Linked DNA regions of Struthio camelus. Each later gene encodes a partner of the first gene's protein in a complex. Links are inferred from orthologs where the notes say so. Each region holds a gene or a part of one and is shown in the gene's direction. Other genes may lie near its edges.

Evidence for each region. The genes of interacting proteins can lie anywhere in the genome.
Region 2: the proteins of MAD2L1 (region 1) and MAD1L1 are in contact, whole or in part, in a crystal structure (PDB 1GO4), measured with the Homo sapiens proteins. The link is inferred for Struthio camelus from reciprocal best matches to the Homo sapiens genes MAD2L1 and MAD1L1. Residues at the interface, in NP_002349.1 of Homo sapiens: Tyr38, Leu61, Tyr64, Asn67, Val68, Trp75, Gln82, Lys83, Ser89, Ile91, Glu92, Ser93, Gly94, Arg99, Gln101, Ser150, Phe151, Asp152, Leu153, Leu154, Ile155, Tyr156, Thr157, Asp158, Lys159, Asp160, Leu161, Val163, Lys166, Trp167; in NP_001013858.1 of Homo sapiens: Glu527, Arg528, Ala530, Leu531, Gln532, Gly533, Asp534, Tyr535, Gln537, Ser538, Arg539, Thr540, Lys541, Val542, Leu543, His544, Met545, Ser546, Leu547, Asn548, Pro549, Thr550, Ala553, Arg554, Leu557.
Region 3: the proteins of MAD2L1 (region 1) and MAD2L1BP are in contact, whole or in part, in a crystal structure (PDB 2QYF), measured with the Homo sapiens proteins. The link is inferred for Struthio camelus from reciprocal best matches to the Homo sapiens genes MAD2L1 and MAD2L1BP. Residues at the interface, in NP_002349.1 of Homo sapiens: Tyr33, Arg45, Thr52, Leu54, Lys122, Asp126, Glu127, Arg129, Ser130, Arg133, Gln134, Thr136, Ala137, Thr138, Thr140, Phe141, Leu142, Leu144, Glu179, Val181, Arg182, Leu183, Arg184, Tyr199, Asp205; in NP_055443.1 of Homo sapiens: Pro61, His79, Tyr82, Gln83, Gln85, Pro88, Leu89, Pro90, Gln93, His96, Ala185, Leu187, Arg188, Phe191, Arg192, Phe195, Asp198, Ala199, Phe200, Ser201, Glu202, Leu203, Gln204, Ala205.

The regions. Positions count from the first base shown.
Region 1 is NC_090945.1:20,326,953-20,333,957, forward strand, and holds MAD2L1 (mitotic spindle assembly checkpoint protein MAD2A), read left to right. Parts: upstream 1-3,927; 5' UTR 3,928-4,052; coding exon 4,053-4,128; intron 4,129-4,291; coding exon 4,292-4,438; intron 4,439-4,549; coding exon 4,550-4,670; intron 4,671-5,194; coding exon 5,195-5,298; intron 5,299-6,077; coding exon 6,078-6,250; 3' UTR 6,251-6,933; downstream 6,934-7,005. UniProt on the Homo sapiens protein: Component of the spindle-assembly checkpoint that prevents the onset of anaphase until all chromosomes are properly aligned at the metaphase plate.
Region 2 is NC_090956.1:6,271,085-6,278,949, forward strand, and holds the start of MAD1L1 (mitotic spindle assembly checkpoint protein MAD1), read left to right. Parts: upstream 1-4,828; 5' UTR 4,829-4,926; intron 4,927-5,093; exon of another isoform or gene 5,094-5,221; intron 5,222-6,211; 5' UTR 6,212-6,215; coding exon 6,216-6,365; intron 6,366-7,662; coding exon 7,663-7,803; intron 7,804-7,865. Other genes in the region: MRM2 (rRNA methyltransferase 2, mitochondrial), read left to right, coding at 334-365, 1,039-1,328, 2,121-2,545. UniProt on the Homo sapiens protein: Component of the spindle-assembly checkpoint that prevents the onset of anaphase until all chromosomes are properly aligned at the metaphase plate.
Region 3 is NC_090944.1:103,725,971-103,733,111, forward strand, and holds the start of MAD2L1BP (MAD2L1-binding protein), read left to right. Parts: upstream 1-4,104; 5' UTR 4,105-4,107; coding exon 4,108-4,452; exon of another isoform or gene 4,453-4,461; intron 4,462-5,028; coding exon 5,029-5,559; 3' UTR 5,560-7,141. Other genes in the region: GTPBP2 (GTP-binding protein 2), read right to left, coding at 233-259, 2,301-2,483. UniProt on the Homo sapiens protein: May function to silence the spindle checkpoint and allow mitosis to proceed through anaphase by binding MAD2L1 after it has become dissociated from the MAD2L1-CDC20 complex.

The DNA.
Region 1 (7,005 bases):
AAACCCTAAGGAGAATCAAAGGGACACAGAAAAAATAGGAGGGAAGAAGGCAAAAGGGTGAGCTATTTCTATGGGCTCCTAAGTAAAGGATCTCCTCCTTCAAGTGCAGGAAGAAATGGCTCTAAAGAGATTGAGATCTACTAGAAAAGGATAAGCACTAGGGCTCTCTTAGCCAGGGTAAAACCTCCTTTCTCTGCTCAGGAAAAACTGAATTTACTGAGGCTTAACATGGCACCTCGTTAATGTGATAAGATGACTTTCGTAGCAAAGAAAACTTTCATTTTACAGTCTGTTTTACTACACTGAAAGGAGGGGCCTGTCACTGTTATCCTGAGGTTTAAAAAAAAAAAAAAAAAGAAAGAAACACACATCTCAACAACTCAAAGCTTTATCACCAAACGACTATGGGAGCATGACCTCAGTTACCTTGAAAAAAGTGAAGCAGTACCAGTGATTTGGACGGTAACAGATTCATTGACAATTGCCATGGGAAAGCAATTGTTAAGTGTTACAAAAAAGCCAAGCTAAACAGGGGACGTTTCCTTCCACAACATGAATTAAAAACAAAAAAAATCTGTCAGAACATGAAGCTGTAATTGAGAAGGAGAGTAATGACTGAAGAATCATAAGAGAACTAAATTCAATACAACTGGGACTTCACATTCCTTATGAAAATTAAGATTTCAGCGTGAGATAATTAAAGCAAGGATAGCCAACTCATGATGTGCCAAAACATATAACTCAGCTTGTCATCTTCATTCCTGAGAGTCCCTCAGAGCTGGTCAGGAAGCAGGCTGTCAGCCACACAAATCATTCACTAACCCACAGCAGTCTCCCTGCTGCTCTCCTTTAGAGCCCCATAGCCTGCCATTCGTCATGTAGCTGGACATGCCCTAAACACATCCTATAGGCATAATCATTGCACGGAGCATGCCCATTCAGTAACATGACAAAAGGACTTTATGTACATGGGTCCCCATCATACAACAGTGCTCTGATGGGGCCATCGGGCTATGGTCAAGTGATGGCTGCAGATCTAATTACATGACAGATGAGTGCAAGCTCCTGGAGTGCCTCTATTAGGGGATATTGGCTTGACCTGGCAGAAAAGCTGAGTGACAGTGACCTAAACAAAGTGAAGAAAATGAAGTCAGGTGTTGTGAAGCTTGGGACTTGTAATGGGGAAACAAAGATGAGATAATGGGAGAACTTGAAGGAAAAACAACAAACACACACTGTCAAATAACTAAACCTTCATGCAAGTGAATTATTGGGGTGAGGGGGGGAAAGGACAGGAACATCTGGATGACACGAGAAAGAAAAAAAATGTGAAGAAGAACATTCTAACAAAAGAAACACAAGGAGTAAGAAAAAGAAAGATGCTACTTCATGGACTAAAAAGATTGCACTTTTCAGAACTAATGAATTGGCCACTGAAAAATAATACCTGCTAAAAAACAAAGAGAAATGTTAGGATCTTTGCATTACAAAAGAAATTCAGCAGTATTAAACACACATAGTTTTTATCATTAGATTACATTTCCGTATATAGGAGAAATTTAAAGCAAAACAGTGACAAGTACTGTAAAAGGGGAATGCATTCCTCTAAAGAGACAGAGAAATGCGAACTGCACAAAGCAAAGGGGCTTTTGGGGGTAGGGGAGCACATCACGAGATGCAAGCCACTGTAAACTGCAATAGAGAAATAGAGAATCAGGAATAAAGAAGCGTTGCAAAACACTGTGAAATATCACGTGCCAGGTTCACCGAATGCAGCTTAGAACTTTAACAGAGGTATCAGGGATCACTCCTGTCTCTCATTACCTCCCAAACGAATGTTGAGAGAAATACGTAAGATGCAATTTAAGTCTGCTGTTGACAAACATATCAGGACAGTCGTATCAACAACAGATCTTCAAACCATCCAGCTGAAATACAGTGAAATGAATCTGTGGTAAATGAATTCATTATTGCTCCGGAAGACTCTTAGGAATCTACTAGAGCTATACTTAGCTGAATTTTGCTTCCAGAGGCATTTGTTTTTTTCTTTTTCTTCCATTTTAACTGTTTTAAACCAGCTGAAGGATAAATGTGTAAATCATGATCATAAGCTCTAATACACTTGCCTGGCCTCATGCAACAGCACTTTCAAGCCCTTTTTTTCAAAAAAATGAGCAGCCCTCCAAAACCCTCAGAGAAAACAAAACAGATGAAAAGCCACGTGGGAAAACAACAGTCCTGATACCATTTTGGGACAGAGGAAGAAAAGCATGATAGCACTTAAAGGTTTAAAAGAAAATAGCTGATATTCACAGCAATCCAGTTTCAAGATTAACAGTGCTTTCATAACATAGAATTTGAAGTATACCACACTCAATCAGAAAACATTTTTTTCAGAAAACTAATGCATAACACAATCATCAGTGATCATGACCCATTATAAAGTTCTCTAGGATAACTACAAGATTATTTAGACACTTTCAGAAGTTCAACACATGGTTTCCAGACCATACTATTTGCTTTAATCTCAGCAGCATGAACCTTGAAGCAAATGGTACTTCGTAGTGCAAAATTTAGTTCCAACAAAAATTCTTTGCTGATTTAGTTTTTTTGAGAAGCATTTTACTACAGCAAAATAAGCAATCTCATTATCAAGTCACTCTTTTAGCAGTTGGCCACTGCACTGTGTAATGATCATACAGTTTTTATTCTGTGTTTAAAATATTTTACCTTTACTTTTGTCATTTTATTTTAAGGCTGCTCTGATTAGATTCTTTCAAGGCTAACAAGGGCATCTAAAATAGGTATGTTGTACATAATGACATGTATTCTTTTCAGACATTTCAGAAAAATAAAATTCAGGGAAGCATTTTATTTGCAGCTCTTCTGTGCCTAACATATGCATTCACCTTTCACTTAGTGCTTCCTTGGCTGTTGATGTATCAGTTGGCTCATTACTGGCCACCTAGCTATTATCCCAGTAAACTATGGCTTCTTCTCTTCGAGATACTATTTAAATATCCCAACACTTAAGATGTACTTGCTGTTTCACTTCGTCTCTCTTACCTGTTAACCTGTGGCAGTGTTTCCTCCCTGCGATAATCACGACTAGCTGCAGGGTTTTCTTCCTTGCTGTCCCTGTAATAACAGGATTTAAGTGCTTTGACTAACTGGCAATTTCCCTACGAGATAGTCTGATGGGGGGGGGGGGGGTTGTATGTCCAGAGAGATGACTTTGTGGGTCCCCTATCTTTCTAAGTGCTTATTTTTAAGTGCTTACTTTGTGCGTTTCCCATTATCCTATGGACTTACAGAGAAATCGCCTTTTTTTGTTCCCCTTACTTAGGTTCTTCCTGCCTGTCTTCTGACAACGCTTGCATAAAAATCGTCCAGAAGCAATTAGATACCTGCTTCACTTCATTCACGCTACAGCTTGGTTTACCGGCGAGAATCGCAGAACAGAATATCGTTTCTGTGTTCAAAAGTGCCTTCATACAGGCAAACGCACCTGAATTCTTGACACTGAACTTCCAAGCACGCTTCTGTGAAAAGCCACGCTCCGCCCGCAGGCTGTGCCTCCCTCAGCCCACACACCCGTGGCAAAGGCACATTTAACTTTTTTTTTTCCCCCCCTCCCCCCCAGGTAGCTGCCCCACCTGCGCCCAATCACCGTTTTCATTCGGCTGGTCACGGAAAAGCAACCCCGCTTCCCCACCAAGAGACGCGCTCTGGCCAGGCAGGCGGCGCACGTACCCCCGCTCCCAGAGGCGAAGGCAGATGCAGCCGCCCAACCACCTCACAACCGGCCCCGAACGCGGCGCGAGCCGCCCACCCCCTAACGGCTGCCCGCCCCGCCCCGCCGCGCGCACGCCCACTAGCGCCAACGGCAGCCCAACGGCCGGCGCACGTGCGCGGAGGGGCGGGGCCGGCGCGGCCTGGCTAGCGCGCGTGCGCCAGAGCGGGCTGACGACAGAGGAAGAGGCGTTGGGGCAAGGGCGGGGCTTGATTTCAAACCGGGCGGCGGGGAGGAGGCGGTTGGGCCCGGGGCCGCGATGGCCAAGCAGCTCGGCCGGGAGCAGCAGGGCATCACCCTGCGGGGCAGCGCCGAGATCGTCGCCGAGTTCTTCTGTAAGCGGCTGCGGGGGGGGCGCGGGCGTGCGGGGGGGCGCAGGGGGCTGCTCCCCGCCGGCCTTCGGGCCGCCATGGCGGTCGGGGCGGCCTGGCCCCGTTCCCCCTCTTCCCCCCCCACCCCCTGCCTCACCCTGCCCCGACCTCCCGCCGTGTGTTGCAGCCTACGGGATCAACAGCATCCTCTACCAGCGGGGCATCTACCCGCCCGAGACCTTCACCCGCGTCCAGAAGTACGGGCTCACCCTCCTGGTCACCACCGACCCCGAGCTGAAGAACTACCTCAACAACGTGGTGGAGCAGATGAAAGGTGCTGGTGGAGGGCGGGGGGTGCCGGGGCAAAAGGCTGCTCAGGCCTCCTTGCTGGATTTCTGCCTATCCTCTTGCTCATGCTGTGAGTAACTGCTGTGGCTTCTTTCAGAGTGGTTGTACAAGTGCATTGTGCAACGGCTGGTGGTGGTAATCTCAAGTATCGAAAACAACGAGGTTCTTGAGAGGTGGCAGTTTGACATAGAGTGTGATAAAGCTGCAAAGGATGAGAGGTGAGTACCCGTGTTCCTCTGCGCCTGCTCTGGAAACACAGTGCAACCAAGATTGCCCTTCCCAATATGAGTAGGGAAGATTTCTCTTCAAACCTATTACCTAGCCTGCTGCTATTCCTTTTGTTCCTCTCTAAAGCAGTTGTTGTAGTACTGCAGCATACATAATCCTTGTGTGCTGTAAAAACAGTATCAGATAAAAAATGTGATTTTTTTTTTAATCTTCAACAAAACATAAAATTGCATGCCCTTAGAGAGCTAGTTTTGCTTTCCTATTGTTCTGCCAAAATACTTTCTCATTCACTCCACACTGAAGATAACAGCATCTGGCTTTCCTTACAAGTACTGTGAAGCTTCACAGAATTTTCTAAGCCTGTTTACCTAAGACGGAAATGAATGTCCTTGCTACGCAAAGCTAGCCATATAGCAAACAAACCAATGGCAGCATAATATAACACTGTATTTAATGAAAGCTGCTAGTGTGGCAGAAGACTCCTTCCCTAACAAAGCTTTTTTTCTTCTTCTAGTGTACCCCGAGAAAAATCTCAGAAAGCTATTCAGGATGAAATTCGATCTGTTATCAGACAAATAACTGCTACAGTAACTTTCCTGCCTTTGTTGGAAACTGCCTGTGAGTATTCCTGACTTCACTACAGAAATCAAGCACTTCTTGCAGAAAAAACCTGCACAACTTTTCTATTTTAGAAAACCTTTTTGTTTACCTTCTTAGTTTTTTTTATTATGACATGAAATGTCACACACTGTACCATATCTGACATGAGATTGAAGTTTGTTAAACAGATCACATCTCCTGCAACTGTGCATAAAACTGAAAAGGTATGTCAAATCAAGTATTTCATCTTAAAGAATTATTCCGTACTGCTTATTCTACAACAAACAGTAAAAATCATTAAGGTAAATGCTGTTCTCATTGAAGAACTTAAAGCAACTTCATTTGAAGGGACTAGTGGTACGTTCTGCCCTGAAACACTTATAAAACTTCTTTTGTCAAAACGACAGAACTCAAGGTGGTTTAACTGGCTTAATGAAACCAGCAAGTATACTTGGTACTCTATATAATTCTGTATGACAACAGCTGTGAATAGACTTTTATGAACACAAAGCACAGAATCTATCTGAAGCAACTACTATGAAGAACTCAGCTGCTTTAACCCAGTATTTTTTTTTGAAGAGATGTTAAATTCAAACCTTTGTTTAAATAGAAAACTGTCTACTAATCTGATTGTAGCCAGGACTTTCCATTTTTAAACATGCTTCCTTCACATAACTAGCATCACCGTAATACCTTAAACTTCTACTAAAGTCTCATCTTCTAGAAGAGGCACTTAATCTTCAAACAAGCTGAGTTTTACGCATGTTTTACTATTAACTTTTCCCCTCTGCTTATAGGTGCCTTTGACTTGCTGATTTACACAGATAAAGACTTGGCAGTGCCAGAAAAGTGGGAAGAGTCAGGGCCACAGTTCATAGCCAATTCAGAAGAGGTTCGTCTTCGCTCCTTCACTACCACAATCCACAAAGTGAATAGTATGGTAGCTTACAAGAAGGATTCATTTCCTTAAGATGTACTTTTTGTCATCGGTATCCTGTCTTGTGGAGCTGCACTGTGAACAAACTAAGTAATCAACAGAATCCTGTTACTGTGGCTGAGACTAAGTGTAATACAGAAAGAAGACAAAGCATTCTTCTATGATTACAGATACTGTGATGTCACACTAGTCTAAACCGTCATCCTTTTCAGGAGGTATATACAGGATTTAACTATCGTTAGAAACTACTTATGCTTAACAGTCAATGGTGTGTTAGGCTATGCTGAATCAGCTAGAGACGCTGCCTAAAGGCAGGATCAGTTGCTGGAACGGTCTTAAGAGCTTAAGTTACAGGATCTTAAGATTAAAATATAGAGTTCCATTAGCACTCTTCAAGTCTCTCTTTTGGTATTTAAAAACCCTGCTCTTAGCATACCAGCTTTTCATGGTAAAAGTCTAGGTTGTTGTTACTATAAACAATCCTAAAACTAATCAACAGAAAAATTCTATGTATAAAAGTTACTTGTACCTCCTAACCATTGAAAGCAGCTGTTTATCAGAAAAATCAAATGTGCAAAGTCATGTATATTAATGACTCTTCTCGACTATGTAGTTTTTGAGGATCTTGTTCCAGATTGGTGTGTACCTATTTCTTCAGTGTCTGTCAAATATCTATGTTCGTATTTGTGTCTTTACAGAATAAAGTTGTGCCAGTTTTCAAGTGTTCTTTATTTCAAAGTTTGTTGCTCCATATGTTAGATGGTCTATATACTCCAGATCATAGTAGG
Region 2 (7,865 bases), on another chromosome or scaffold:
CCCCCCAAAGCCTCATTTCCCCCCCCCATGCCCGGTGCCCCCAACCCCCCCCCCCAAAGCCTCATTCCCCCCCCATGCCCGGTGCCCACAACCCCCCCCCAAAGCCTCATTCCCCCCCCCATGCCCGGTGCCCCCGGCACCCTTTCCCCAAATCCTTGCCCGGTGCCCCCCAGCGCCTGACCTCCCCCCACACGGCGAAGAGGCCGCGCACGGCCCAGGCGCGGCGGGCGGCAGCGGCGCCTCTTCCCGCGCCGCCGCCGCCGCCGCCGCCGCCGGGTCGGTGCCGCCCCCCGCGCCGCCCCCAGCTCCGCCCCGCCGAGCCTGGCCGCCATCATGGCGTGGCGCGGGCCCGGCGCCGCCGGCAGGTGCGTGGCGGCCGCGGCTGAGGAGAGCGGCGCGCTGGGGCGAGCCGGGGCGGCGGCCGGGCTGCTGCCGAGGGGCGGAGCGGGGCCTCGGGGCCCGGCGGGCTGCCGCTCAGGGAGGGAGCAGCCTCGGGGGTCTTGTTGTCCCTTCTTGACTCATCCTCACCCTTCACCTTAGAGCAGGGGCGCCCTCCCGGGCCGGCAGGGACGGGGGCGCCTGTGCGCGCTGGGGAATCCGCCGTCCCTCAGGGGCGCCTTGGTCGGGGCGCCTTAACCTGGCCGGGCCGCTGCTCTTCTCCTCAGCTCTGCCTTCGGTGTTGGTGGTTCATAAGGGCTGCTGCACATTGGGTGAACGTTGCTATAAGGCTTAAACGCGAAAGCCGGGGTGGAAACAGGGAGCTGTTAGGAAGGGGATCGTCCTTCCCCCTACCTGCTTTGTTCAGGGAATGGCGTATGAGGCCTTGATCCAGAACGAGGCTTTTTTTGTTGTAACTGGAACCGATAACTAAAGATGCTGCGAATGGCCAGGATTCCAGTGCCTGAACTGGAGGCTGCTGGAGAGCGTGGTTATAAACGGGAGCAGACGTAATCGGGGTTAGAAATAGTTCCTGCGGAGAGCTCTGAAATACACTGTGGTGATGTGCTAGTCGGTTAACTCGCCTCTCTTCCCGGGTAGCGGCCGGAGTTTGGTGAGCCTATCCCTGCGGTGCCGATGCTTCCACGCTGCGGTGGCGCTCCTGAAGAGAAAGACTGGAGCAGATCACCAGTGGCTGGAGCGGCATTTGAAGGACCCCTTTGTCAAGGCAACGAAGCAGCAGAATTACCGCTGCCGAAGTGCCTTCAAATTACTGGAGATAGATGACAAGCTTCACATCCTCCGTCCAGGACTTTCTGTGCTTGACTGTGGAGCGGCGCCTGGCGCTTGGAGTCAGGTTGCTGTAGAGAGGGTCAATGCCTTGGGTACTGGTAAGTGCACACGCGCTGGCACCTGAGATGGAGGTAACGCTCGTTTTGAAGTGTGTGGGAAAGCTCAACTGTGCTGATGGCGGAGCGGGGAAGGTACGTGGGTACAGACTGTCGCCACAGCCACTGATAGAAATTTCAAGTAGCAAAGAACTCAAGATTCCTGGCCCCAGGGTGATAGTAAAGAAGCGTAATTCTTCATATGGTCTGGAGAAATCATATCTATGAAATTAAACCCTGGGATGAGGTGCTGCTATAAGACTAGCTAAGTCTTCTGCTTAGCTGAGTTGGAGGAAGTTACTATATAAAAGGCTAATGAAAAGGCTGGGTGAGATCCCCTCTTCATCTGCCTCTGAAATTCATGTGGCCTCCAGCGGGTAACTTACTAAATTTTTGTTTCCTTTCTTGAATAACGGCAGTAACCACTACATACAGCTTATGTGATTTAGGCCACTAATATTTATAAGATAAAGTATTATCGTCTGTATTATTGTCCAGAATTTTTGGACTGCCAGCCTCGAAAAAATCGACAGAAAAAAACCAACAAAAATACCTCTTGCGTATCTGGAATAACTGCCTTTTAATGTTTTGTATGGAGTAGCCTATAGCAAACCGTCTATCCAGATATGTGCAGCAAACTCTTTATGGAAGGACAGGGAGACCGTGTTTGGCTGCTGATACGTTTTTGTGTATTGAATATCATGGAGCTCAGGTATATGCAAGTTGCTTGTAGCCCTTATATCATAAGAGCGATCAGTGTGTCATTCATTCTGACGACAACTCTTTGTTTTCTAGATCCTACTGTCCCTACTGGTTTTGTCCTTGGAATTGACCTTCTGCGTATTTCCCCACTGGACGGAGCAGTCTTCCTGTCAGAGACTGATATTACAGACCCAAGCACGCTTAGGACAATTCACAGTCTGCTTCCTGCAGAGAAGGTGGATGTTATCTTGAGTGATATGGCACCTAATGCAACAGGCATCAAAGAACTGGACCATCAAAAGTTGATCAGCTTATGTTTAGGCCTTCTGAATCTGTCGCAAAGCCTTTTAAAGCCAAAAGGAACTCTGCTCTGTAAATTCTGGGATGGACAGGACTCCCGCCTTCTTCAAGGCAGACTGAAGGAGCAGTTTCAAGACGTGAGAACTGTAAAGCCTCAGGCTAGCCGGAAGGACTCTGCTGAATCTTATTACTTGGCAAGACTGTACAAAGGGAAATGAAAGCTGAGAATTGCAGATTATCGAACTGGTGATCAGACACTGATTGGAAATCTTTACTTGGCAGGTATTTAAAAAAAAAAAAAAAAAGGCAGGCATGAAGACCTCCAACATCAACTGTCACATTGTTGAGAACAACCTGGGAGAATATACTGCAATTCTTAGGAAGTACATCATGCTTTTCAAGTACAAAAGTAAAACCAGGATGGTGCCCTGCTGAGTTTATCCACTAATTATACGAGCAGAGACATCCAATTTAGCTTCTCACCTGTGGAGAAAACTGTTGGGAATGAAGAGGAATAATCTGAAAGGCAACCTCTGGGGCTGGAGTAATGGAAATAAAAATAAAACAGTGATTACAGGTTTTTTTTTTTTTTTTAATGCGTGTGCTTGAAAATCATTGCACTACTACTGCTGTCATATTGGAGACTAACCGTAAAGGCAGTTTCCAAAATGAGAGGGGACAACAAGGGGAGTGTGAGCCAATTTATTTCTTCTCTGTCTTTCTTAAAAGCTGGTACAATTTCTTAGCACGCTTAAAAATAGATAACACTCTTGTGCATGTCAGAGTCTGCGTTGTCACATACAATCTATAATGCAGACGTTCAGAACGTATGACTCCGGCTCTGGGATATTGCAAAGCTTGGTGGCTTTGCTGCATTAGCTAAAGACACGTGTTATATTTAGAAATTGTTACTTCATTGTACTCATAAATCCAGTAAACGACAGAGGCTCATCACAGTTGAGAAAATAATTTTTCCCTATATCTTCAGTAATGCTTCATGTTTCACTAGTGATGTTTGTTAGGTAAAATGGCGAGATGTTCCTTGGATCCCAGATAGGTAAAATTACTGGTTGAATTGTAGAGTTCTATTTGCAAAAATAAACATAGCTACTATCTTATCTGGAAGTGACAGCTTTTACATTAAATAGGTCTTTTATCAAACTCTGTGAGGCATGAGTTACAGGAGGGGCTGGTAGCACTGCCTGTTTTTAAGGCTTCCAGATATTTCTCATTATAGACACCTCATTTTCAATGGCTTAAAATATATCAAATTTTAACTAGTTTGTCTGAAACTTTCAATTCTGGATCTCTCTACTTCAACAGTATGCCTGGAAGTGTTAGCCAAACAGCCTAAACTAGGAAGCTGGATGTTGATTTGCGTATGTTTGGGGGGAACAATTATGGCAGTCTGCTATTTGAAAACTTTGTTACCCTGTGATTTGGTAGCAACTACAACTGAGCAGGATGTTTCTATTAACCATGTGCTGTTTACTTTTGTTGCTCTGACTGCGGTTGCGGGAGGGGAGGATGAATTCTGACTGAACAGGAGTGTTGAAAGCCTGTCCGTGGGACAGGGTGAGAAGAGGGAGGAGAAGGGCGGCCAAAGTGGTGCTGGAAATGAGGCTGGATGCTAGAGAGGCTGTAAGGAGGGAAAGAAAGAGCAAACGGGACAAGGCCTAGAGTTTGGGGGGAGCCTGGAGGTAACAAGGACAACGTGAGGAACGCAGAAGTCTGGCGGAGCTGGCGTTGCAAACGGACAGCCGCAGGGAGGCCGAGCTTGGAAGATGCGGGCGGGAGTCCATCGTGGGAGGGCCAGCTACAACCCCTTCTCCGTGACGGTATTTCCCCTCTGAACTGGGAACGGAGCCCTGCTGCTAGACTGATTGTCTCCCTCTGCGAAACCCACGGGCAAAGCCTGTGTCTTGCTGATGTTTAGTGCCTGGAGCATCTAACCTACATAGCGCGGACTCTGGGGAAAGGATGAAAACAGAGGCCGCATGCCTCAAAGCGGGCCCCCGGGACTGCTGGCTTTTTGCTGTTACCTGCCTTTTCTTTTCCCTGTAAAATGAGGTTGATACTTAAACTTATGATCACAATAGCCCCATGGGATGAGCTTTCGCAGTTTTCTTTTAATCCCCATAGATCTCTATTTTACTGATACTTTAAAAGTGAGCGATGAGAATCTAAGAAACAGCCGGAGCAGCTCAGTTTTCTGGAGGGTTTGCTAAGGGCAGCAGCAGCTGATCAGAGCTAACGCTCCCCTTTATCTTTCCCAGGATTTTGCTTTTTTCACTCCGCAGCACCGGCACGTGCGTGGGCTTGGCGAGAGGCAGGTCCTGGCCTAAGGGCAGAGGGGACGGGGCAGCGTTTTGGGCAGCCGGGGGCAGAGCGAGCGCCGCATGTTATGGGGCAGCGGAGCCGTGCTGGGGCGCGCCGGCCGGACATTACGGTAGGCGGCGCTGCTGCGCGCACGCACTCGCAGCATTACGGCGGCCGCGGGCGCTCTTCTCGCGGGAGCTGGGCGCGAGTTCCCGTGAGATCTCGGCGGCGGGGCGAGGAGGGAGATCCAAGCGGCGGCGCGCGCCGCCGGCTGTGGCGGGTGAGTCCGGCCCGGCCCGGCCCGCGGCTCCCGCCCCGCCGCCCCTCGCGCCGTCCCCGTGTCTCCGTCCCCGTCCCTGTCCCCGTCCCCCCCGGCAGCCCCCGGGGCTCCCCGCCGGGCCGACGCCGGGGCCGGGCAGCGCGGCGCGGCCTGCCGGCCGGCCGGAGCCTGTGGTGAAGGGCGAGTTGGTCTTCCCAGTCCCCTTGTTTTCTCCGGATCCGTTTGTTTCCCGAACGGGCTCGCTGGAGCCCGGTTACCTGTTGGCACTGGTCTCTTTTGGATTTACTGGTGTCTGGTACTGAAGCCCTTACTTCGAATAAACGTTGTCGTTTGGTTTTTCCAGCTGGTCTGTTGTTAGTGTGCTTCTCCTTCCCCCCACCCCCCCACCCCCCTTTTCGTGGTGCTGTAAATTGTTAAGTGCTGCGCTGTGCTGCTCACGCACGAGCCTGGAGGTTGTCCCAGCGCTGTGTCCTGTGCAGATGTTGTGTTTTGGGGTTCCTGGTTCTGGGACTGCGTGAGGTGTAAATCCCTGCAGGCTCCTGAGGTCTCCTGAGAGCAGCTTACAGGCTTCTTTGAGCTCCACGCTTGACTTATCTTTGGCCTTCTAACAACGCTTTGAGGGGAGAATTTCAAGTCTGTGCGTGAACGAGAGCCCAAAATTTCACTTTTGAAAGTGACCTTAGAACCTGGGAAGTCTCGTCATTGAAAGTTAGGTTCCAGAGTGACTTTTGGAAACCAGGATCAGGTTCGTAGCTGTGTACAAGGTAGAGTTTGCTCTATGGGTTTAGGTCTTTTCCTACCCCCGGCCTTACAGTGTGTCGAGGAAGAGTAGCAAGGGTTCGGTTTGTTGGTGTTACGTGCTGTGGACCTCCCCTGGCACAATGTTAACTTGTACCCCAGCTTTATTCTGATCATATAGCAAGGGAGAATTCAGTCTTGCGTAACTTATGACACCTCTTGTTTGTATATTTATGGGCTGAGACTCAGGGGAAAATGTATTTAAATACAAAATGTACAATTTCAGGTGGAGAACTAAGGGGAGAGAGGTTCTCTTGCATCAGTCTCTCATCTTCAGCCTCAGTTGGATAGTGTTTTCTGGTTCACACTGATCCCAGCAGTAATCTGTGAATCTCAGCAGTCACTAACAGTTTGGGTTTTGTATGCTGTAAATAGGAAGATCTTGCCTTCAGTGTTACCCAGGGCAGTGTGTCTCTTGTTAGAAGAGCAGCCAGTAGACACTAGGTTGCTCTGAATGTTTTGCTGATAACTTTCTGTGTATTTGCAGAGCCATGGAGGACTTGGAAAACAATACTACTGTCTTCTCCACCCTGAGGTCTCTCAACAACTTCATTGCACAGCGTGTGGAGGGGGTGTCTGGGCTGGCTACGCCAGGATCATCGCAAAGCTCTTTGCAAATGCAGTACCAGCAGAGGGTGCAGGTGAGGTATCCTCCTCTTGCTGATACCTGCAGCATCACCTCACTATGAATGTAGACTCCTTTTGATTCTGTGTGATTCAAGATCGTTTGCATTAAGACCTGACCGTTCTTTCTAAAATTGCTATTTATGCATGCTCAGTAATGGAGAAGTTTGCTTTGGGTGAACATTCTTTAAGTTTTTTTTAAGTGTTAGCCTTATGTGTATTTCTGTCTTGTGAAAATTTAAGGAAAGTCCTTTGAATTTCTTCCTCACTGATTATATCAGTATACCAGCTCAGAAAATTAAATTGTAAGTTGCTTTCAGTCTGCTGCTTAACAGGTGTATTTCCAGTAAGTTATCTTGTTTACCATTTTTCACCACCCTCTTTAAAATTTCTTTGCCTTGATGCATATAGGAGACTTGCACTAGTGCCATGGCTTCGATATGCCAACGAGTTTTGCTACCTTATCCTCTTCTATTCAAATCCATTGATTGTTGTGACTTTTTCCTGTAAGCTGCCTTTCTGATTTTGTTTTGCTTTGTGTTCATAAGACATCTAGTAGGATGACATCTTGGACTCTATATTAGGGACTCTATATTAGACTCAGAAACATTTCTGCAGTCTATATCTTGATATAAGTTCTATTTAAATTCCTAAGTATACAATAAGGTGGTGGTTGTTTATTTTTTTTTTTTTTAATGTAAATCTCCTTTGCATTGAGGTTGCTGACAAAAATTTGTGTGTTTTCTGTCTGTAGTACTTCTCTGGTTACAGAGCCTTCGCTAGATATATGGTGATCGTATATTGCTTAGAAGTGAGGTGTTCTATTAATATTATAAGTGCTTTAAAATAATTTTGTACGAAGCATTCAGTCATATAGATAAAAAATATATTGTAACAGGTTGTAGAAAAACATGCTATTTTGCTCAACAATTACATTTCATGGGAAAAATGAGCTCTGCTTCTTGGTTAGTTGCTGTTACTTTTATAAAGCTTGGGGGATTTGGAATTAACCCTCTTTTAGGTAGAGAAGTGTGTTTTGTCAGATAGAGGGCCTCTAGAATTTGGATGAGAAATTCTTAGTGAGGAATTTAAAATTCACTTGTTTGTAACTAACATTAATTTGACGTGGGTTTCTGAGCATGTTGTCGAACTCTTAGCCTTAGCTTCCCAATCCGCAGCTTGTTTGGGAAGACGTAAGTGAGGTGATAGTTCCCTTGTAATTTTGTAAAATACTATGCAAGTGTCAGCTGGATAGTATGGGTTGCAGTGCTATTAATGATGTGTAATATCCCTCTTCACATATGAACTGGCCAGTTGGAAGAACAAGCTGGGCAGATCCATTCCAAATCTCAGCTCCTGCAGGTGGAACGAGAGAAGATGCAGATGGAGCTTAGCCACAAAAGAGCTCGCATTGAGCTAGAGAAGGCAGCTAATACTAATGCCAGGAACTATGAGGTAAGTACAACAGCTGCTGATGGTTTGATATCATAGGCCTCAGTCAGAACATATGTAGTACA
Region 3 (7,141 bases), on another chromosome or scaffold:
CTCCTAAACCAGGTTCCTAAAACAAGCAAGGAGATCCAACTCTTCCAGCTCAGCATACTGAGCATTGCTACATACAGAGACCCAGAAGTAGACAGATAACTCCTTAGTCCAGTGCCTATTTTTCTGTCCCTTTCTTGAACGTGTCCCCCATATGCTGTCTTTGCTGAAGTTACTCACTGCAAAATAATCCTCTGGGAGGAAGACCTCCCTCTGCAAGGCTCAGAAGGCTCACCTTGTACTCGATGTTCCCATCTTCTGCCTAGTCAGAGAATGAAACAAGATAGAAAGGTCAGACCCTGTGCCAACAGGGACAATAGGCACCAGCCACCCAGGCACTGTGAAGCTCCTGCTACCATTTTCAGAGAGAGGGAAAACTGCAGAAACATACAGTGTTAGTCACAGCCTCTCCTGCCATTCATTCCTACATTGTACTGGAACTTACTTTGGGTTCGTTTCTGCTGTTTGCATCACACAGTACGAAAAACAGAGGCTAAATTAGAGTCATTTCTTTTACTGACAGCAAAGGATGAGGCCAGTCTGAAAGTCAGAGAGACTTTCAGTTTCAAAAAAACAGCACAGGCTGGCAGATGATCAGAAGTCTCCACGCACCCCACTCAATTCACATCCCACACTGCCACCACACACTATCCAGCACCTTCTGTCCGCCCAACGTGCATGAAAACAGCTGGCTGGGGGTAAAAGTCGCTGTCTCCTCTCCCACACACCGCTATGCCCTTCATCCAATTATTTTTTCATCGACTCTTTCCTATATCCATGCACATCTACCTTGCAGAGAGAAGGACCTTCAGACATACGGAAGCAAACTACTGACTTGTTTGTAGTACAGCAAAGTAGTCACTGGCCTGACAGTTCTGGAGAAGCAGATACGATCAGGAGCGTCTGTGGACAACATCCTCGGAAGGGCTGCAGTCAGATTGGATTGTCACAGCCCGAAACAGAAAGACTCATTAACTCATCGAGCGCACTCCAACCACAACAGGCACCAACTCTCAGAGAAAACGTATGGCCACTACTGAAGTAACTTTCCCACTGCTTCAGTCCAAGGACCACTGAGAAAGGGCTGGAGCCTGCAGGACACCAAGTACTCTGACAGACTAAACCGGGCTGCCAGCACTGAGCACTTCCCTTTTCTCTAGACACTGATTTGCACGTCAAGAGAGGCAAGAGCCTCTCCTTGCCTTCTAGTTCAGCTCCTAACCACAGCAGAGCTTATGGTGGCAAAAGGCCAACAGAGGGAGGCTCTGAATTATCAGCTCTGCTCTTGGCAGTGAAACTACTCAGTGAGAGAGCAGTACTTGCAAAAGGTTTTCCTGTTACCATCCACCATCCTTCCAGCTCTAAGAGAAACACTGCACGCACATGCAACGCTGTATGTGATAAGGGGGTGGTGGGTCGGTTTCAAGGCAGCCGAGACCAGAAAAGCAACAAGTCTAGACTTGCTGGACCACACAGCGAACAAGGCAGCAGAGGACAGGAAGCTGTGCTGAAGCCACAGGGACCGTCCAGCCTCCAGCTGAAAGGAACAAAACCCAACTGCAGCGGCAGGGGACAGTCCTGTCCGTGGAGCAGTCATCTAACAGCAGCTAGGCCCCGTACTCCCTGCTGCCACGGGGAATTGCTCCCCCTCAGCAGGCTCCTACCTCTTTTACAGGACTCCTGTTGACCGGGGCTGAGCAATCAACTCCGGGGCAGCGCAGGGCTCGCCACAGCGGCGGTCCTATCGGTTCCCCGCCAACTGTCTGAACTAACCAACACGCTACTTATTGCCGATACCGTATTTTCCGGCGGTAAGAGGTGAGCGAGAAGACTGCCTCTCACGTTGTCAGCGCCCTCCGCACCCGGGCGCGAGGGCACAGCGGCGGAGCGAGCCGCGAAGGGTGTCACCAGAAGCTGCCGAGCGGTGTCTAGTAGCTCGGCAGCCGGCAAGACGCCGGCACCCACCAGACCGACTGCCCAGCAGCGGTGCCAACAGCAGGCTTGGGACTGCGAGGCGAGCAAGGTTTTACTCCCCGAGCCGTTCAGCTCCCCGACGGCAAAGCACTGCCAGGGGCACGCCAGGCAGCGAGCCGTCGCCGACGGACGCGGTTTGGCCGAGCGCGCCGGGGGCTGCCCGGCACCACGAGCGCTGCCACGTCAAACCCGCGGCGGGGGAAACGGTGCCGGCGGGGCCGGGCTCAACCGCCTGCCAAACCGCCTGCCAGGCGCCGAGCCCCGCCGCCCCCCACCCCACCGGGACGCCCCGCAGCCCGGCCCCGGCCCGGCCCCGCCGCGGAGCTCACCTCGGGCGGCAGGTACGGCGGGTTGTTGGCCTTGGCCCCCCGGCTCCGCCCGCTCTTCTTCTTCGCCTTGGAGGAGCCGCCGCCGCCGGGCGCGGCCCCCCCGCGCCCGCGCAGCGCCCCGCCCGCACCGCCGCCCGCCGGCCGGCAGCAGCCCCCGAACAGCTCCGACACCCGCGAGTCCATGGCGGCGCGGCGCGGCGCGGCGCGGCCCGGCCCGGCCCGGCCCGGTGCGGCGCCCGCTCCCCGCCCGGGCTCGGCTCGGCTCGGCTCGCCGCCCCGGCCCCGACCCCGGCCCCGGCGTCAGAAACCGCCGCGCGGCGCCACGGGAAACTGAGTCCCCGCCGCCGGACTACACTTCCCGGCACGCCCCGCGCCGCCCCCCACCGCTCAGAACTACGACTCCCAGCACGCCCCGCGCCGCCCCGCTCCCGCTCCTATACGGGCTCCCTCGGGCGGGGGCGGACGGGAGTTGGAGTCCGGGGGAGGCGGGAGGGCGCCGCCTGGCGGCCACCGCGGGCATCGCCGACAGGTCGCGCCCCCCAACCCCGGGTGCTCCCCCGCCCCTCTCCTCGGCCGTGCTTTGGGGAGCGGGCCTGGGCCAGGGAACCACCGAGGGTCTCCGAGGGTGCAAGGCTGAGGGAGGGGGTGCTCCTCCAGCACCTGCCACCCTCCCTTGGGGACTCTGCAATTCGCAGCTTATGTTGCCGGGGCGCAGCCTGCTGCACGCTTCGAGCCCTGATACCCTCCACTTCAGTGACAGCTATTGGCACCGATTCCGGCTGGCAACAGGGACAGGGAGCCAAAAGGTTTTTACGAATAAGGTTTGCATCAGAAATACTTAATAGCTATACAGAAATGGTATCACAGCACGGAACTATAGAGAAGATACCATAAGCTCTGCTGAGAAGGGTAAAAGCAACAGGCTGAGGATGAGAACCTCCTGCCACGTGTTGTCACCTTCTCTGCCAGTAATGCACTGCATGTTTTGCCACTCATTTGTCTCTCTGATGCTACTACTGCTACTGCCAGTAAGCCTCATTTTTCTCAGCTCCATCCCCTGGGGACAGAGATGCTCGATTAACATGTGCTACCATCAACAGCTTTTAAAGCCTTTGGTGCTTTTAAGAGGTAGCCAAGGTCGCCGTGCTGTGCGCACACAGCGCTCCTCACCCTACGGGAGCACTGGGGAATTGCTCATCCCATCACCCACCGGCGCGACCGCCCTCCCCGGGCCGTGTTTTGGAGGCTGCGCCCAATGGGGCTGCGGCCACGTTGTTTCCAAACACGACAGGCCCTGGCCGCACGCCACCTGGCCCGGCTCCCCCGCCTCCGCCTGGCAAACAGCTTCGCCCGGCGCGGCAACGCGCCGCAAAACAGCGCCCCGGGAGCAGCCCAGCCCGGGCAGAGCCAGCGCGGCTCCCCCCCACCCCGGTCAGAGGCCTGAGCGGGCTGGGGGGCCGGCAGGGCCTTCGGCTTGGCCCCGGGGGGCGCCTGACGGGCGCTCGGGGACCAACGGCACTGAGGGAGAAACCGCCCGCCCTGCCTACGGGAGGGCTCACGGCGCCCGCGGCTGGGCCGGCGGCGCCTCAGCGCAGCGGGGCCGGGGGCTCCGGCCTCACCAAGCACCCGCACGGCTGCCGCACCCGGAGCGAGGGCAGCGCCCCCACGTAGGCCCGGGCCCCGCTCCGCCCCCACCGAACATGGCGGCGGCACCGCCCCGGAAGCCGCGCGCGAGAGCGCTCCCATGGTGCCCCGCGGCGGCGGCCATTCAAATCCGCGCTGGCCACCGCCCGCCGCCGCTCAGAAAATGGCGGCGCCGGGCGGCGCGGAGCGGCCCTGCGCCCCAGCGGTGGCTGTTGCGGCCGCCGCCCCCACCCCTCCCCGGCGGGCGACCTCTGCCTTGTCCCCGCTCCTCACAGCCGAGGCGCCGCCGGCCGCCCCGGAGCGCGGCGGGGTGAGGTCCCGGCGGAGCGGGGCGGCGGCGGCGGCAGCGGCGGGGTGCCCCTCGGTGTCGGTGGTGTTCCCGGGCGCCGTGAGCCGTGAGAGCTGTTGCCGCTTCGCCTGCGAGCTCCTCAAGCACGTCCTGCACCAGCGGCACCAGCTGCCGCTGCCCTACGAGCAGCTCGTCTACTTCTGCCGGCGGGCGGCGCAGGTGGGCGGCGGGGCCGGGGCCGGGGCCAGGCGCGGGGCCGGCGCGACGCGGCGCTCTGCTGGCGCCGCGGCTTGGCAACGGCGTCACTTTCTCCTGAAACGAGACGCCCGCGTTAGCTCAAGCCTTAGCCATGCCGCAGCCTTGTTTTAAAATAAGGCCGACAGCTAAAAGTGTCAAGACGCTGCTGTTAATCCCTTGCGTCCCAGTTTCCGCTCAAAGTGCGTGGCTCGCTGTTTTGCGTTTGTGGCTCGGCCAAGCCCACCGCACGCTGCCTTGCTCTCAAGTGGCTTCAGGGTGGTTTCCCCACCTTTGAAAGTTGGGGTCCCTAATTGTTGTGAGGATTCATTAGTAGCCTGATGCAGGTTCAAGCTGAGCAGCTACCGAGTGGCCTTTTGCATTCCTCTCGGACCTCCTGATTCCATATGAGCTGCCCTGTACCTCTTAAAAGAAAAAAAAAAAATCTGTCCAACCTCCCTTGAGTGTTAGGGAAGGGATGTGCTGCACCTCACAAGAGTGTATTAAGACCTCTTCCCTATTTTTCTCAAGTATTCTAATTCCCCCTCCTCCCCCTGACAGGATGGAGACGTGATTAAGAAGCCGCCCTCCATGGACATGGCAAGCAAGAAATGCCAGCAGGTGCTGATGGAGCTGGAGGGGGTGCTCCAGCACTTGGAAGTGATGTTCAGTTTGACGCTGGTTCCCCGTGTTCTTATTCTGCTTGGTGGCAATGCTGTGAGCCCCAAGGAGCTTTATGAGCTCAACTTAGAGGGTATCTGTGTGGGCAGCGCTGAGGAGAGCCTGAAAACCCCATTCTGCGTGCGTAAACTTTTTCACTCGCTCTTCATAGCGGATGTCTTCAGTGAACTTAAGGTTCTCCCCATCGTGGGCACTGTCGTTATGCTCCAAGGACACCGCGACTGTGGTGTTGATTGGTTCCGGCCCAAGCTCAACTACAAAGTGCCGACTCGAGGAAGGAAACTAACTGTCAACTTGTCCTCTGATGGAGACGTCAGTATAAGTGCCTCATCTCCTCAGGGTATGACATCGGCCTGGGAGGATTACATATGGTTTCAAGCACCGGTGACACTCAAGGGATTTCATGAATGACTCGTGCTTTATAGAACTTCAATGGATTATTGAATAACCTTTGGTGCTGCTTTAGGTGATGACTATTTTATCAAATGTAATTGCATATTCTTGTCTCTCTGGATCTTTTCTCCAGGGCATCTGCTATCTTCCTGTAGCTGGACTGTGTTCATCTTTCTATGAAACAGCTGTAAAATTCTTCCCCATGTTGTTATTGAAAACAAATACCTTTTAAGGTACAGTTACATATCGATACAGGCATTCTTTAGGAACCTGGGCTGTGGCACAGCAGATGGAACTACTGTGCTGGGAGTAAAACTTTCTTGCAGCATGCTTACTGAACTGGCAAATACTGGATATGATCTTCTCTCTCCTGAGTTTTAATGCAGCAGTTCCTCTAGCAATAATTATTACTTTACCAAATTGTCTCAGACTCTAAATAATGCACGTGATTATTAATGCAGTTGGCCTTTCCAGGGCTTAGTAGCCTTTATAGTAAAGGCTATAGCAATTCTTACCTATCCCACTGCTGGGAAAAGAGATCTTTCCCTTTAGTGTGATCAAATTTGAATACTTAAGTGTTTGATCATCTATTTGATAAAATTAGACTTCCCATAATTCAATGTCAGCTAGTTAATCATCCAAAGAGTAGGACACCTTAGCAATTGGGAGGTTTCTTACCTAGCACTGTGCTGTACTTGTGAAAAAAGGTTAAGCAGTCCTGTGGAGGCAGAAAAGCACATTTTGGTGTCTCTTTATGAACCTTGACTCCAACAGCCCTGACAATCAGTTTGTTAAAATCAAGAGTAAGTAATTTTTGTTCTAACACTCTTCAGAGGAAGTTAGGACTCCTGCCCCATTATGCTGTTTTTTTCTCCTTTAAAAAAAAAAAAAAGGCTCAGTTCTTGCTTACTTTTACCTCTTAGAAATGTTAGAGTCTTAGACTCTAAAGCTTGCTGAGACTCTAAAGCTTGCTGAAATGTGGAGAAGAGATGATGGGGATATGATCAACTTCAACACTGTCTTTAACTGTGAACTTCCTGTTCCAAATTGGAATGCTCTGTATTACCTGGAAGTAGAACTTGAGCCCTTTCTTCTGTACCAGGTCTGGTGTCTAGTGCAGAATGGGACACAGAGAGAAACCCTTAGAGTACGCTGTGTCAAACTAGATATCCACTGGAGTCGTCTTGCATCAGCTGGGTACGTACCTATAATGCAATGAGTTTAGTAGCTCCAAATATCTCTCTCCTGTTTGAAATTGTAGGCTACTGGTAGTGAGGTTGCTTGTAGTTTCTTACTCGCACTAGTGAGGTACTAGAAGATCTGTTGAAAGGAGGCTCTGCACTTATTCCTTTAAAAAAAAAAATTGTCTGACCTTTTGGAATGGAGTAAGATTGTAGAACGGGAAGCAAGGTAGTTAAGTTGACGTTTTTGAGCTTGGAGAATGCCAGGAGTGCTGTCTCTGCCTTACTATCCGTTGGTTAACAAAGATGTGGTGACTGCTAAAGCTAGCTCCAGGAAGAAATTGCTAGAATGAAGAAAGCTGCCTTAGGTGCAGCTGCCCACTTCAGCATGTGATCACAGGTCTCTTGACTGAAATGTG